Pelodiscus sinensis: one gene and its partner. The protein of the gene in region 1 interacts with the protein of each later gene in a biochemical or structural test. Links are inferred from orthologs where the notes say so. Each region holds a gene or a part of one and is shown on either strand. Other genes may lie near its edges.

Evidence for each region.
Region 2: of the proteins of proline/serine-rich coiled-coil protein 1 (region 1) and ASB7, one has a biochemical effect on the other in vitro, tested with the Homo sapiens proteins (2 studies listed by BioGRID, with this or other methods). The link is inferred for Pelodiscus sinensis from reciprocal best matches to the Homo sapiens genes PSRC1 and ASB7.

The regions. Positions count from the first base shown.
Region 1 is NC_134737.1:15,885,310-15,893,062, reverse strand, and holds the start of proline/serine-rich coiled-coil protein 1, read right to left. Parts: upstream 3,010-7,753; 5' UTR 2,946-3,009; intron 1-2,945. Other genes in the region: PPIL1 (peptidyl-prolyl cis-trans isomerase-like 1), read left to right, coding at 3,230-3,285, 3,388-3,542, 6,331-6,399. UniProt on the Homo sapiens protein: Required for normal progression through mitosis. Required for normal congress of chromosomes at the metaphase plate, and for normal rate of chromosomal segregation during anaphase. Plays a role in the regulation of mitotic spindle dynamics.
Region 2 is NC_134724.1:7,682,588-7,690,331, forward strand, and holds the start of ASB7 (ankyrin repeat and SOCS box protein 7), read right to left. Parts: upstream 3,020-7,744; 5' UTR 2,836-3,019; intron 938-2,835; exon of another isoform or gene 892-937; intron 488-891; 5' UTR 281-487; intron 1-280. UniProt on the Homo sapiens protein: Probable substrate-recognition component of a SCF-like ECS (Elongin-Cullin-SOCS-box protein) E3 ubiquitin-protein ligase complex which mediates the ubiquitination and subsequent proteasomal degradation of target proteins.

The DNA of each region.
Region 1 (7,753 bases):
GGGCCAATCCACATGTGGGTGAATCAGTGGGAATCTCACATCCAGCGCAGGGGGACCCCGGGTTACAGAGCAGACAGCCCCCCCACTACATCACACCCCCATCATCTCAACACTAAATATTTCCACCTTAAGAACCACAAAAAACAGCTATTCCCCAGCTGTCTGTTCTTTCATGCCCCTTCTTCTTGCTACAAATCTCTCTCTTTACAAATCAGCTTAGCCTTGAGAAGTGAGGGATTCCCTTTCTAAGAAGAGATAAAACATTTATTCCTCCCTTGGGCAAGACGTGCTAGCTTCACTCACACATTAATCCCTTCTCCACCATTTGCTGCATCTTACTACATTGGTTTTCCAGTTCTGCTCTGGCTTCTGGCTGGTTGCTAATGGACAGGCTGCATAAGATGCCCCTGATTGGAGGTCTCCACAACAAAAAGCCCGGAGTTGTGTTCAGAGTGGATAATTGGGAACTGACCCCATTGAGTGTCTGCAAACAATCCTTTAAATAAGGAAATAAAATAGACCTTCTTGAGTTTTTTTAAACTGTCAAAAAAGTCACTGATCTAGTTAAAAACCACCACTATCACCACCCTTTATTTAAAATAAAGTCTTCCTGCTTTTGTGGCTGATTCCAAGTTAGACCCTAGGAAGGTCACATCACGACTCAGTGCCTCAGTTTACCCATATATAAAAACAGGAAAATATAAAGGAGCATAAACTGAACAAGTTTCTTTATTGCTTGTATTGTGGGGGAGGGGGACGGGGGGGTGTTACAGGCAAACACACTGAATGCAAGGGCACTTCGTTGAGAGCAATGTGCATGACTCCTAAAACTGGCTATTCATTGCACTGCGCCATGCTTTGCTCTCCTTATTACCCTGGTGTCTGGCCACTCAAAATCTCTGGCTAGGCACTCTGCCTCAGCCCCCTACTAGGGATGTTAAATATCAGTTAATTGAATAGTCGAGTAACCTCATGAATCCTTATCAGTTAGTCGACTATTACATAGCTCCTGTCTCACTCCAAAGGAGTCCCCTGCCACACAGTGCTACTGCCTCTGTATCAGAGGCAGCAATGCAGGGTGCCAGGGATGAGCTGGTCCGTGAGGGGAGCCAGTTTAAAAACAAGCTCCCCTTGCGGATGAGCTGCCTGTCGCCCTGTGCTGCTGCCCAGATCCATCGCAAGCCAGAACTGAGCTGGGCTGCTGACCTGCCTGCTAAAAAAAAAAATTTACTGGCAAGGGGTGGGAGGAGAATGCGTGTAGTCTACAGCATTAACCTGTACATTCTTGCTTATCGGTTAATAGACTACACTACTACAGCCCTACCCTGACAGATTACTTTCTCCCTTGCTCTAAAAATATTATGAAGCACACAGCAGGCTGCCACCATAAAGGGAATGTTGCATTTGTCAGGGTTTAACCTAATCAGTAGATTAGTAACCCTTCCCTTTAAATGCCCGAAAGCACATTCAACCACTATTCTACACTTGCTCAGCCTGTAGTTAAACTGCTCCTTACTGAGGTCCAGGCTGCCCATATATGGTTTCATAAGCCATGGAAGCAAGACGTAGGCTGGGTCATCAAGCATCAATATTGCCATTTCCACCTCTCTGATTCTAGTTTTCCAGTCTGGGAAAAAAGTTCCAACTTGCAGCTTTGTGAATAGGCAGGAGTGTCTCAAGATCCACGTGTCATGCACAATTCCCAACCACCCCACATTGATGTCAGTGAAATGGCCCTTGTGATACGCCATCGCCTACAGCACCTTGCTGTTTATTTACTCCTTGACAACATGGTTGGGGGCCAAGATGGGGATGCACATTCCCTCTATCACCCCACTGCAGTTAGGGATCTGCACTGCAGCAAAGCCATCCACGTTTCCAGAGTCACTACCCTCTGTAGCAGAAGGGCATTGTTTGCCTTAGCTACTTGAATAACAGCAGCCCCCATTGCAGGTTTCTCCACTCCAGACCGATTCCCAACGGACTGGTAGCTGTCTGGCGTTGCAAGCCTCCACAGGGCAATTATTACGCCCTTCTCCGCTGTCAGAGTGGGGGTCAATTCTGGTGTTCCTGTGCTTGAGTGCAGGGACATTGAAACCTCCCCTTCGGCCGCCCCCGTGGAAATTAAAAGTCCCTCCACACCTTTGGAAAAACAGGGGCCAAGTCTGTGCATCCCCAGCTAGTTCCAGCGTCCAAGGCTCGGGCCCAACCTCCCAGCTGAGCTGGAGGAAAACAGGGGAAGGGGAACAATAACCCCTCCCTCCACTTTGCCACAGGCAACATCACACAAAACTACGGGTCAATGGGGAGAGCTAGACTCTGGGTCCATTGCAGGGTATTAACCGGGGTGCATTGGTGGGTCATCCCTATGCACCCCAGCCCCCCCTACCTCACCTCCCCCCAACCCTGCCACCCCACCTCACCTCCCCCCCAACCACCCCCCAGCCCCCCCACCTCACCTCCCCCCAACCCCCCCAGCCCAGCCCAGCCCAACTACCCCCCAGCCCCGCCCCCCCAGCCCACCTCCCCCCAAACCCCCCAGCCCAGCCCAACTACCCCCCAGCACCGCCCCCCCACCCCACCTCCGCCCAGCCCCCCCAGCCCAGCCCCCCACCTCCTCCCAACCCCCCCAGCCCAGCCCCCCCTCCCAATCATCCCCCAGCCCAGCCACCTCCTCCCAACCACCCTCCAGCCCAGCCCCCCCTCCCAGCCACCCTCCAGTCCCCAGCCCAGCCCAACTACCCCCGAGCCCCGCCCCCCCAGCCCACCTCCTCCCAACCCCCCAGCCCAGCCCCCCACCCCACCTCCTCCCAACCCCCCCAGCCCAGCCCCCCACCCCACCTCCTCCCAACCCCTCCCCCATTCCAAGTCTCCTGTGTCCAAGCCCATGGCCCCACTACAATGCATTAGCCCCCGCCCCACCCCCACCCGCGCCCGCCACTCACCCTCCGTCCTTCCCGAGGCGCCGCTTCCTCGCAGCAAACACAGCCGCGTGGAAGGGGCGTGGCTAAATTCGAATTCTCCCTCCTGTACGTCACAATAACACCGTTGCCGCCCAGCGCGCTGATTGGTGCCTCTCCCCCCCCCCCCGGGGGCTGTTTCAGAGCCGAGCGTTCATTGGCCGCCAGGGGGCCCCGCCCTATTCCACGAGAGGAGGGGGGCGGTTGGCTGAGCTAACGGAAGTACGTCACGCGGCGCTCTGAGCGGAGTGTTCCGGTGCGCGAGGAGCATGGCTGCGGTGCCTCCCGACTCCTGGCAGCCCCCCGCCGTCTCCATGGAGACCACGTAAGGAGCCGCGGGGCGGGGGTCGCGCCGGGGGCGGGGGCCTGGTCTGGGGGCGGGGCGCGCGGCGCGGGGCGGCGCCCTGACCCTGTGGCCCCCCCGCAGCATGGGCACCATCGTCCTGGAGCTCTACTGGAAACACGCGCCCAAGACCTGCAAGAACTTCGCCGAGCTGGCCCGGCGCGGCTACTACAACGGCACCAAGTTCCACCGCATCATCAAGGACTTCATGGTGCAGGGGGGCGACCCCACGGGGACAGGTAGGGCGGCCTCGCCCCTCCCCCCCGCGTCGGGAGCGCGCGCGCCTGAGCCACGCGGGCACGTGCCCCGCCCCTCCCCGCTGAAGCGGGGCCCAGCGCGGGGTCCGTGCAATCCAGGGTCCACTCTCTTGCCCCGCCTCCTTCCGGCCCCTTCTCCACGGGCCCCCTGCTCACCCCCCCCCTCTCACTTTTCTCCGGCTGGAGGGAGAGGGTTGGGGCGCGGGGGAAGGGGATGTGGACTCGGATCTCGGGCTGAAGGGTTCGGAGTGTGGCAGGGCTTCTGAGCTGAGGTTGAGGTGCAGGATGGTTGCAGGGTGCAGGCTCTGGGAGGGAGTTTGGGTGCAGGGGGACTCAGGGTTAGGGCAGGGGTTTGAGGTTCGGGGGGGGGGGCGGGGTTTGGAATGCAGGCTCCAGCTGGGAGCTGTTTACCACAGGTGGCTTCTGGGTGGTGATGGAAGGGGGCTAAGGCAGGTTCACCCCTCCCCTGGCCTTGCATCACTCCCAAAAGCAGCCAGTAAACTCTCCATCCCTGCCCCCACTCTGCTCCGTGGAGAAGGGGTACAGGGTGGAAGGAGGTGCATCCTGACATCAGCACCTCCTCCTCTTCTTCTTGTGCCCTGCACAGCACGCAAGAGGCTACTGGGACTGGGGGCAGCTCCAAGGCAAAGGCAGGAGCAGCACAGCAGTGCTGAGAGGGACAGATGAAGTGCCAGCATTTGACAGCCTCCCGATCAAACCTGTCAGGATCACCTGTCAGAAGGCTCCAAGATCTACCAGTAGATCGTGATCTGCTGGTTGATGACCACTGGCCTAGTGTTTAGGATGCAAAAACGGGATTTGGAGAAAACCACGTTCAACTAACTCTCTGCTCCTATTAAGATTACTTGTGTGACCTCAACCACATCATGGTACATCTATACTTTAGTCTGCATGTAGAGCTGCGGTCACCAACCCGTTGATCGCGATCAACTGATCAATCACGAGGCCTCAACCAGTCGATCGCAAGGCATTCCGGATCCTCCATTTCCCTCCACCCCCAAGAAGCCCCACTACCTACCTCCAGCGACAATGGAGGTAGTGGCAGCTTCCCGTGGGGTGGACAGAAGTCCTGCAGCTGTGCGTCACTCCCAGGGGCCAAATGTCTAGACAGGCCAAATGTTGGAAAAACCTCTTCCTACAGAAGAATTGGCAGTAAAAAAGCAGCAGTATAAGGGTTGGGGATAGCAAGTGATGGAGCAGAGGAGAATAGAGAGGGTAGGGCGGGGCTTCAAGAAAGGGGTTGGGTCCTGGGGGAAGGATGGGGAGGTAGATCTTGGCTTGTTCTGTCATTTAAAAAGTGATCTTGGGTGTAAAAAGGTTGAAGACCGCTGGTGTAGAGTATATACAGGATGCCCAGCTCACCTGGGCATAAGCAGCAGGACAGATGATGAGGCACAACTTAGGTGAGTAGAATAGAGCTGTGTTTCTCAACCAGTGGTACGAGTACCCTTAAGGGTACTCGAGAGAAGTCTGGGGGGGGTACATCAACACAACTGAAATTTAGAGAAAACTGAATTTTTGTTTCAAGTTTTACAGCGCTTTATTATTACACCCAAAACTTTCATTGCCCTAAGTTTTTTAAACAAATGTGTGTCTGGTACTGTGGGTACTTATAATTTTTCATTTTTTAAAGGGGGTACTTTATAAAAAAAGGTCGAGAAACACTCAAATAGAGTGCCTTACCTGCCTAAAACACTGAAGAATGGAGATTCCATCATCTCCCTAGGCAACCTATTCCAGTGCTTTACTACCCTGCTAGTGAAGTAGTATATTGGAATTGGAAAAGGTACAGGGACAGGCAACACAAACTACAGGCAGTCCCCGAGTTACGCGGATCCGACTTATGTCGGATCCGCAGTTACGAACGGGGCCCTCTCCCTGCTCTCCAGCAGACCAGGGAGAGGAAGAAAAGCAGCGGAGCATGCGGGCAGCGGACAGCCCAGACGTGTCTGGGCTGTCCGCTGCCCGCGCGTTCAGCCGCTTTGCTCTGCTTTGCTCCCCGTCCCCCTGGTCTGCAGACCAGAGGGATGGGGAGCAAAGCGGCGGAATGCGCGGGCAGCGGACAGCCCAGACGCTCACAGGGGCAGGGCTCAATAGGATTGTGGATTTGCTTAAAGACAGAGTCGATTAGGGATAGATAGTTGCTTTTATTAATTTTACTACGTCACTACTATTACAGCCTTAATACTGGCAAATACACAACTACTGCAAACTAATCCAAATAATTAGCATAGGCAAAGCAATACATATACATGAGCAACAGGCACTTAGAAATGCTTACGCCCCTTCAGGTCTGCAGGGAGTTCCATTCCGGTCACCTTGCACCAAGCTGGAGTGGATGTGGCTCCAGCTAGGGGACCCAGGGCACCTTCCAAGGGAAAAGGTCTCTGGTGGAACTCACAAAAGGGCGGGCAGGTTTTATACTCTGTTTACTGGGTGTGCACGTCCCTGGCTCAATGCCATTCTTATCATTTTTATGGGCTGAGACCAAGGTCAAACTTATTTACTGCTCAGTAGTTTCCCAGCTCAAGGCACAGGTTAGAGCTGATAAAACCCAGCTGCTGTTTGGGCTTGCAGGGTCCCAGGTTATGCTAAGCTGGGTACAGCAGGGATGGAAACTTCCATCCTAGGCCTGCTAAGCTGCAGGACGCACATATGACTTTCATGTGACAATCCCTACAATGAGAGTGGCCCTGAATGTCTGCCATGGCTTTCTGTATTGACATATCTGCTTTTCTCCAATGGGCAGGCAGAGGGGGCGCATCCATCTATGGGAAGCAGTTTGAAGATGAACTTCATCCAGAACTAAAATTTACAGGTAAGTGCCATTTGATGGACTTGTGTGGGTATTTGTGTTGTGTTAACCGTGCAGGTTGGGCAGAGCACCAGTTCAGGGCTCAGTCTCACAGTCCTTATACAGAAGTCATTGGGAGTATGGGTGGCGTGAGTGCTGCAGGCTTGGTAGTTCTTAATGACAAGTGAAGCATTAAAGGGATTGTGGTCAGGAAGTGAAAAATTAACCGACTAGGGTCCCATGCAGATGAATAAACAATGACATGGTAGCTCTCTTCCTTCAACAAATGGAATTGAGAAGCTGTGACCCTGAAACCTGCAAAATGATGCTGCAACTATCCTGTTTTCAGCTAAGTAGTCTCTTCCTAAAGATAGTTAATCAGTGGTCTAACAGCAGCAGAACAGCTTGTGCTAAATGGCAGATAGAATCATACAGTCCACAACTCAGACCCCTCCAACGCATTATACACAACCTGTAATCCATCTTGGAAAATGATCCCTCATTCTGAGGCCTTTAGGGAAAAGCCTGTTGTCACTTACTGACAACCCCCCAACCTGAAATGAATTCTTTCTGGTCACCATGCTACACAACCACATCATAAACATCCAGGAACCCAGCCCTGCAATCAGCTGAGGTGCCAACTCTGCCCACATAACTATACAAGCGAATTCATTAGTGGAGCCAACAACATAAGCTACCAAATCAGAGGATCATTCAATTGCACATCCAGTAATTTGATCTATTCCAGCAGTGCCCCACTGCCCATATTGGACAAACTGAAGAGTCCCGAAGGGAAAGAATCAATGGACACAAATCAGCTGTACGTAAAGGGAGCGTACAGAAACCTGTTGGAGAGCACCTCAGTCTACCTAATCACTCTTTAAAAGTTCTCCAGGTGGCTGTCTTATCACAATCCAATTCTACAAGTCAAATACACAGAGAGGTGTTGGAATTACAGGCAGTCCCCGAGTTACGCGGATCTGACTTATGTCAGATCCGCACTTACGAACCGTGCTTTTCTCGCCCCGGAGGATGCGGGCGGCGGGACCGTCCAGACACGCCGAGGTCCTCCAGGGCGAGGAAAGCTGCTCCGCGTCTCCCTGGTCTGCTGGGGGGGGGCCAGCAGACCAGGGAGACACAGAGCGAAGCTGCGGAGGACCCGGGCGGCGGGACCGTGGCGCGTCTTGGTCCCGCCGCTCGCGTCTCCATGGTCTGCTGTGGGGGGAGGGGGGGCGGTGCAGCTAGTGCGCCCCTTCCCCCTCCCCCCCCCCCCCCCCCCCCCCCCTCTCTCCAGCAGACCAGGCTTTTCTCAGGACTCCTGGGGCAGAGCAGCTGGGGTGCTGCCAGTTGCTCCCGCAGCGCCGCTCCTTGGCGCTAC
Region 2 (7,744 bases), on another chromosome or scaffold:
AATTATTAAAGAGAGAAGCCACAAAAAGATCTTGAAGTTGCAACCTACAAAAAAAGTAAATAAATGTTTGGAGCTTATTTTATCAAATGAGAACGCAAAGTGCAGAACAAGACACAGAAAAGGGAAAAAGTTCATTCCCTATACTGCAAATTTTTGTTACTTTTTTAAGCCAAAGAGCAAATTGTTTTTTCTAAAAAAAAAAAACCAAAACAACCAAAACCCCCCAAAAAAACCCACAAAAAAAAACACCTAAGAGGGAAATCTAATCCTAGGTACTCACATAAAATCAGTCAAGAAAGCCAATAAGAACGGGTTCCATAAGCATCCAGACAAGCTTGTGTGGACATGCAGGGTTGGCTTGGGATACAAGATAAGAATGAAGGTGGATTATCACCTTTATACTGAGTGCCACTTTCAATTTTTCTTACAGTCTGTATCTTCTCCTTTGCATTCCCAGTTTGCAAGTCTCCCTTGAGTCAGCTTGAGCCTGAAAAGAGGGAGTTAGTACTGTTAGATGAGTGAGAAGTGGAGGATAAAGGGAATTAGCATCCAAAACACTGTCAAGGTTGAAGTAGGGAGAATGAAGAGAAAGGAAGCACAGGGTATTTCCCCAAAGTGGAAACTGAAAAGAAGGAGTGAACCATATGGAATATTTGGGGTTTTAATGTGGGTAAAAAACCAGCAAGAGATTCTTCTCAAAGTATGGTCTCATTGTAATTGAAGTAAGGAACAAGGAACATTAATGGGTAGGCAGAAAATAACAGAAAAAATCAGAGTTTCTGGAGAATTAGAAAAAGCAGGAAGGTAACTGTCCCCAAGTCCTCACCAAAAAACAAAGTCTTGGGGACCTCTGAGGAACAAAGGTTGGGCTCGGAGAAGAAGATTACCTACCAGGCATGGTTTTGAGGTCGCAACACAGATGGTCCAGAACAGAATCCTAGGATAATGGTTAGGAATGTAAAATTCGGTTTTATTGATTAACTGGTTAAACATTATGTTTAACTGGTTAACTGTTTAGGGCTGGAGCAGCCCACCCACCACAAACAAGGGTTGCTATGACTGGCCATCTGATCCGAACAGTCCCCGTTTGTGGTGCACCACCTGGGCCGGGCCCACCACAGACAGGGGCTGTTCTGAACAGCCAGTCAGAGCAGCCAATCTGCAGTGGGTCCAGGAGCTGCTCCAGCCCCTACTGGTTAAACATTCATACGCCTAGTAATGGTGGATGGCTAGAGAAACATCTAAGATCAAGAAATGGGCTTTTACGGCCTAACCAAAATCTACAGCATCATTTCTCAAATGTGGCCAACACAAGTTTTCTTACCCTCATAGCTTCCTAGCTGGTGATTGGAAAAATGGGGAGTGGGAAGGTACAACTCCTCTCTAGGGGGTCAAAAGGAGGGGTTGGGCCCTGCCCTGGAGATATGCACTCTAGAAGAGCAGAAATGCAGTGCGACTTCCCCCCTTTCCTAGGTGTGATGGAGCTCAGGCTTCTAGTGTCAGCCTTGAAGGGGCAGGCACAGGTTGTGGCCACAGGCCAGCAGGTTCGTCATGGACTCCACCCATGTTTCTGGACTTTGGCTGCACAGACACTGGTTGGGTTTTGGACTTCAGCTACTGAGTTTTGGGCTCACTCTCCCCTGCCTTCCCCCATTACCCTGAGCTCCCACTGCAGTCACTGGCCGCTCACCTATACATACATACCAATACCCCAGTCCTTGCTACCTCCCTACCCACCTTTCCATTCAAGGCTTAATTTATCCTTCACCTACCAGGGCTGAATAAGTCTGTGATGGAAAGTGATATTTGTAAGTTAATATAACTTTTTACTGCCTCCGAACTAGCCAATAAATTGGCTGCAAAAAGCGATATTAACAAACATACCAATATCTTTTTTTTTAAACAAAAGACAACTTACTAGCTAGTTAGTCTTAAAAAAAACCTGTAACTAAAAAAAAAGCAAAAAAAACAACAACAAAAGACAACAACAGGCAAAGCCCCTTATTTTTGTTTCTATTCTTATTTAGGGCAAGTAAAAAATAGGGACAACTGTATGTTATTATTGAGTCTAAAAAAAATCTACATAAATTATAACGATCTGGACATGTATGTGTGTATGTTTCTCTTCGGATCACATAAATCTTCCACCTTTTATTTATTTTCACTGAAGTTAAATATTTTAAGGAAAATTTTCATAGTGGCCACCACAAAAGTTAGTGGCCACACTATGAGGCCTCCAAAAATTTGCTGAGAGAACCCCAGTAGTGGGGAAGAGGTTGAAAGGTGGGGAAGGGAGCAGCGCACAAAACAGGGAATTTCGAGGCATTGAAAAGAGACCAGCGGAAAAGAGAAGCGTGAACCCCCTGTAGTGCAGTGACGGGGGCGGGGGATTAAGAGAGGGGCATAGGGCAGATTTGCTCTGCTCCATAACAGTCTTGGGAGCATGACGGGGGCAGGGGATAGTGACGAGCGAAGAGCACGTCCCCCTCGAAAGAGTCAGCGAGATGAGGGCGATGGGAAGAGCCTCGGGGACTTTGGGCCGGGTGGGGGGAGATAACCTCCCCCCCTAAAGACCGTCTCAAGGGAACCATGGGCCAAAGCGGGGGGTGGCCCTCAGCCCCACAGCGGGAATACTCCTCCCCAGACCCTGTCCGGGGGGGATGGGCTAGTGCCCCCCCCAGTCTCAGAGGAGCACGGGGCTGCAGACTATCCCCCTCCCCCACACACCGCAGAGTCCCATGGGAAGGGGGCGCAGACTCGGGGCGGGGGTGGAGCGCTCCCGCGGCAGGCGCCCCCCTGACGGGGTCTCGGGACAGAGCGGGCTTCAGCCGTTACCTGTCTCCTCCTGAGGGGGGCGGGACCGGCGGTCGCTCCGCGGCCGCTCCCCCCACTGGCACTGGCTCAGGAGTGGGGGGAGCCGCAGACCCAGCCGGGGGCGTTGTGGGGACACTTTACACTGACTGAGCCGCCCCCCTCCTCACTCCGGGGTCACTGGGCAGGGACTGACCCCCACCGCAGCCAATCCGCTGCCGCCGCCATAGCTCCGCCCCGAGCCGTAAACCACCGCCGCGCCGGGTTGGGTGACTCCGTTTATCTCCCCGCCCAGTGCCGTAAAGCGGGGTGGGAAGAGGGGGGGCCCTTGCGACAGCTAACGGTAAGGGCTGCTTGCGCTCGAATTTGTCCTGGGAGAAGTGGGCCCTCCCGCGCCCCGTCTCCGGAGGGCGGGTAAAGCGAGGCGGTTGCCTAGCAGCCCTGGGTGGGCGGCGATGGCTGAGCGTGGGACCTGAGGCGGCTCGGTGAGGGCGGCTGGGCCGGGAGGAGGGGGTTGCGCTGGCGGCCGGGCTGTGGAAGCCCGGAGGCGTTGGCGGGAGGGGGTGAGGAGGCTGGGCCGAGGGTGCGAGGAAGGGGAAGGGGGAGGGGAGGTGTGGGAAGCAGGAGGCGGCGCTGCGGGGGGAGCTGAGGCGCAGCCTTTGGGGGCGGGGGTTGGCTCTGCTCTTTCGCATCCCGATGTGGCCTGCACGTTTTGGGGCTGGAGGATGAAAACCACTGGGGGGGGGGAGTGAGGCAATTTCCCCCACTGTGTGCTGATAATTATGGCGCTGCTCAGCAAGGATATTGGCTGGGTGGTTGGTTTTTTTCTTCTGTAAGGACCAGCCGTGAAAAAGTGACATTCTAAATTCTAATCCGGAGGCAGACGGTGGGAGAGGTAATACAGTTTGTTGGACCAATGTTCTGTGGGTGAACGAGACCAGCTTCCAAGCTGGTTTCCCAGACCTGGAAAAAACAGGTCTGTCTAAACTTTGAACTTGAAGGTGGTCTTTTTCACCCACAGGAGTTGGTTCAATAATAGAAATGACGTCACCCACCTTGTGTTTCCTATCTAGGAATCAGCCCATCTATAACGACACTGCAGACCATCAGGACAGCAGATGGTTCACACCTCACAATTGGTGGAAAGTGTTTGCACAGACAGGAAGGTCAAACTGTGATTTACCTTGGAAATATTTATTCCCACGCAGAGACCGGAAATGTAACAGTTTTTAAAGGCAAGCCTATAAGCTAAAAACCCCCAACTCTCCACCCGCATACAAAGTTAAGAGAGCCAGAGTTTAGTTTATACCTCATGATTTAAGTGTGGATCTTCCTTGACGCAAACAAAAGCCTTTCAGTGAAATTAGAGAATCCTCATGCCCCATATTTCATACATCAGAGTTGCAACCACCATTGTTTTCTGTTTGTGAAGACCGCAATTAAAGAGAGAAGCTTTCCATGCAATAGTATTTTAATATGATCTACTTTAATGAAGTTGAAAGTAAAACAAACATAGTGTTTTAACAGGACTTTCCTTTAATCATGATTGTGAGAAACACATGCTTTTTGGCTAATTGTATTATGTGAGTCATAATATACCATCCAGCTGCATGTCAGCTGTAATAAAAAAAAACACTTGCAACTTAAGATGTAGTCTGAGAATGTAGAAGATAATGTGATTTGAAAACAACTGTTTCGTTAGTCACTATCAAATGAGTGATGGATTTTTGTATATAGGACTTAGCTTAAGTACTCCACACTGAAAATGTATATTGACTTCATAATTCCATTTTAGAGATATTGTGGAGTTAGTGACTAGCCATTGACTTACATGTTTTATGGTATTCCTCAAAATTTATTGGCCTCAAATAAACTATTTTCCATGCTTCCTTCTCTGATCCCTTCCCTTCTTTTCCTTTAGTGTCTCTCTTCCCTTGCTTTCTATTTAGGTAATCCTTATTTATCAACCCCTGTGATTTGTATTTAAATCAAACCAAAACAGTAATGAAATTTACATGATGTTTGACAATCATTATGTTACTCATGCTGCTTGTAAGCTATATCTCTTTTTTCTCAATCTTTTGTCTCGTCTGTTTACATTACAAATTCGTCATCACAGGGATTGTGTCTTATTCTGGGTCGTTCTGTTGATTGGCTTCTAGGAGCTGCCATAATATTAGATATAATTGGAGTACATTATTCCTTACATATCCCTACTGTCATACTGCTGTTACTCCCTTCCTCACCTGTTTAGTTATCTGCCATGCTGTCTTACTATAGTTGAATATATCTCTGTTGTCCTCTGGCATCTCTTCTTTCAAATTCACCCTTTAAAACCTATCTTTTAAAGCAATCCTGTCCCACTTTGTAATGATCACCACTCACTTTTTCCTGACCTGGTATCCTATATTTTTTTAATCTATTTTAGATTGAGGTCTTTGAAACAAGTGGCATGGTTTATTGAAGTTTGGTAAAGTACTATGTAAATTAATGGTGCTGTAAAATATATAATCTGGGAAAGTGCAAGCACTAGTGTATTGGAAAGATAATATTTCATAGTGCTAGTCCTAGAAGAGTTCTAAAGTTGATTCACCCTAACAGCCTCATTGCATTGTATTAACTGGTACACAAGAGAGCCATTCATTTAACATTTAGGGAAGTAATTCAGTTTGGTCCTGAGTGTATTAATAAATGTATGTGTATTTGTTTAGGTAAAGTGTGTTGTATAAAATAGTCACAAATAAATTTTATGAGTTTTCAGATAATTTTCTATCTTAGGTAGAATTCAAAGTATATTCCACAAATGAAGGGTAAATATGTAGCCTGAAGTATCAGATTTATTCTTAATATTTAAAGTTCAGGCTTTGTGAACTGATAGAGGTCCCTACAGTAGCCTCACTGAAATTTGGTTGAGGAACATTGTAAGGTTCTAAAACTGCAAGTCAACAAGTGCTGTGGAAGGATATTCTCAAAAATACATGGATGTCTATGTAAAAAAATGCATGCTACCATAACGTTTATAGTCCATTGTGGATTGTCTTATCTTCCAATCCCAATTTTAGATTCTGCCTCAGAGGCAATATGGTCTAGTTATGGTAGTCACTGTCAGGACACTTGGATTATATACTTCAATCTGTCACTAACTTGCCACATAACCTTAGCAAATCACTTTATCCATCTATCTCTTAGATTCCACATATATAAAATGGGAATATTTGCTATCTTTGGAAAGTACTTTGAGATGTTCAGCTAAAAAGTACTATATATATGCTGGGTACCACTAGCTAATATTTTAGCAGCCCTAGAAATCAGGCTTATGGCTTCTGGAGTTTGGCACCCAGAATTAGAGACTAATTTGGAAAATGTAGATGTTAACTAATGCAGTTACATACGCTTTGTTTTATTCTGTTTATGAAAGTGAGGGACCAATTCTTATTAGACAATTTTTCTATTAAGCTGTCACCGTTCTTGTCTGTCTATCATGGGATTTTCAACTTGCCTTTCCTGCACACAGGCCGACCGTCCCCACCAGCTCCTGTAGAAGTGATCTGCTGCCTGGCTCCCGCTGTAGCCGAAGCAGCAGGCCACCCCTGCCAGTTCTGGCTCCCGGTCCCCTGGCAGCAGCCCCAGAGTTGGAGGGAGGGCAGCAGCCCCAGAGTTGGAGGGAGGGTAGTAGCACCAGAACCAGGAGGGCAACAGCCCCAGAGCTGGGGGAAAGGCAGTATCCCCAGAGAGTTTGTGTGTGGGGGAGAGAAGGGGAGCTAGCAATCCCGCAGTGTGTGTGGAGGGAAAAGACCAAAAAGACAAAAATAAAAAACTAAAAAAAAAAAAAAAGACTAAAAATAAAGTTTTCCGCTACCAATTTAGGAGAAAGATTGGATGGCTAACAGTTAGCAACTACCTTGAATCATACTTAGCCATCCAGTCTTTCTCCTAAATTGGTAGCGGAAAACTTTATTTTTACTCCTTTGGTACACTTTTAGAAAGATTGTCTTTTTTTTAAACTTTTTATATATTTTTTTCAGTATTTGCATATTACTCCCATTGAGCTTATGTGCAATATCTGGTCATTAATCTCCATTTTTTTAAGACAAAAGGAAAAACTATGTACTACTATAAAGACTAACAAGATGGTTTAATAGACGTTGAGTTTTCATGGGCCAGACCCACTTCCTCAAATCATATTCTGAAAGAGAATTGGCATGACCATATATACCAAAGGAATACTGTGAAAAAAGTGAACACATTATTAAACTGACAAATCAGATTTAGAACAGAAGGTGGGGAGAGAGGGAGGAAGGGAAGAAGGGAATAGCTGTTTATAAGTCAATGAATGGCTAATCAGGGGTGATAAGTGGGGAAGCTGTCTTTATAATGTGTTTAAAAAAAAAAAACAACAACCAATGGTCTCGTAGCACTTTATAGAGTAACAAAACATGTAGATGGTATCATGAGCTTTCATGGGCACAGCCCACTTCTTCAGATACTGGAGTTATGAGTAGGGGGTATGAAAACTTGGATATTAACTTGAAACTGGTCTATAGTCAGGCCCTTAGGTACAATCGCATCTGCTCTAATCCCACTGACAGAGATCAGAAACTTCAAGATCTCTACCGAGCATTGGTAAATCTCAATTACCCACCGGGGGAAATAAAAAAACAAAGCGGAAGAACCAGACGAATACCCAGAAACCATCTACTTCAAGATATGCCCAAGAAAACCAACAACAGAACACCACCTTTAGCCCCCAACTTAAACCCCTCCAATGCATTATCAATAACTTAGGGTTAGGTCCTAGTTCGAACAAGGGTGGCTAATGTAGTCATTTGAACTTGCAAATGAAGCCTGGGATTAAAATATCCCGGGCTTAATTTGCATGTTCCCATGCGCCGCTAGTTCGCACTCCCTGCCCACGGCTGCCCGTGACTACACG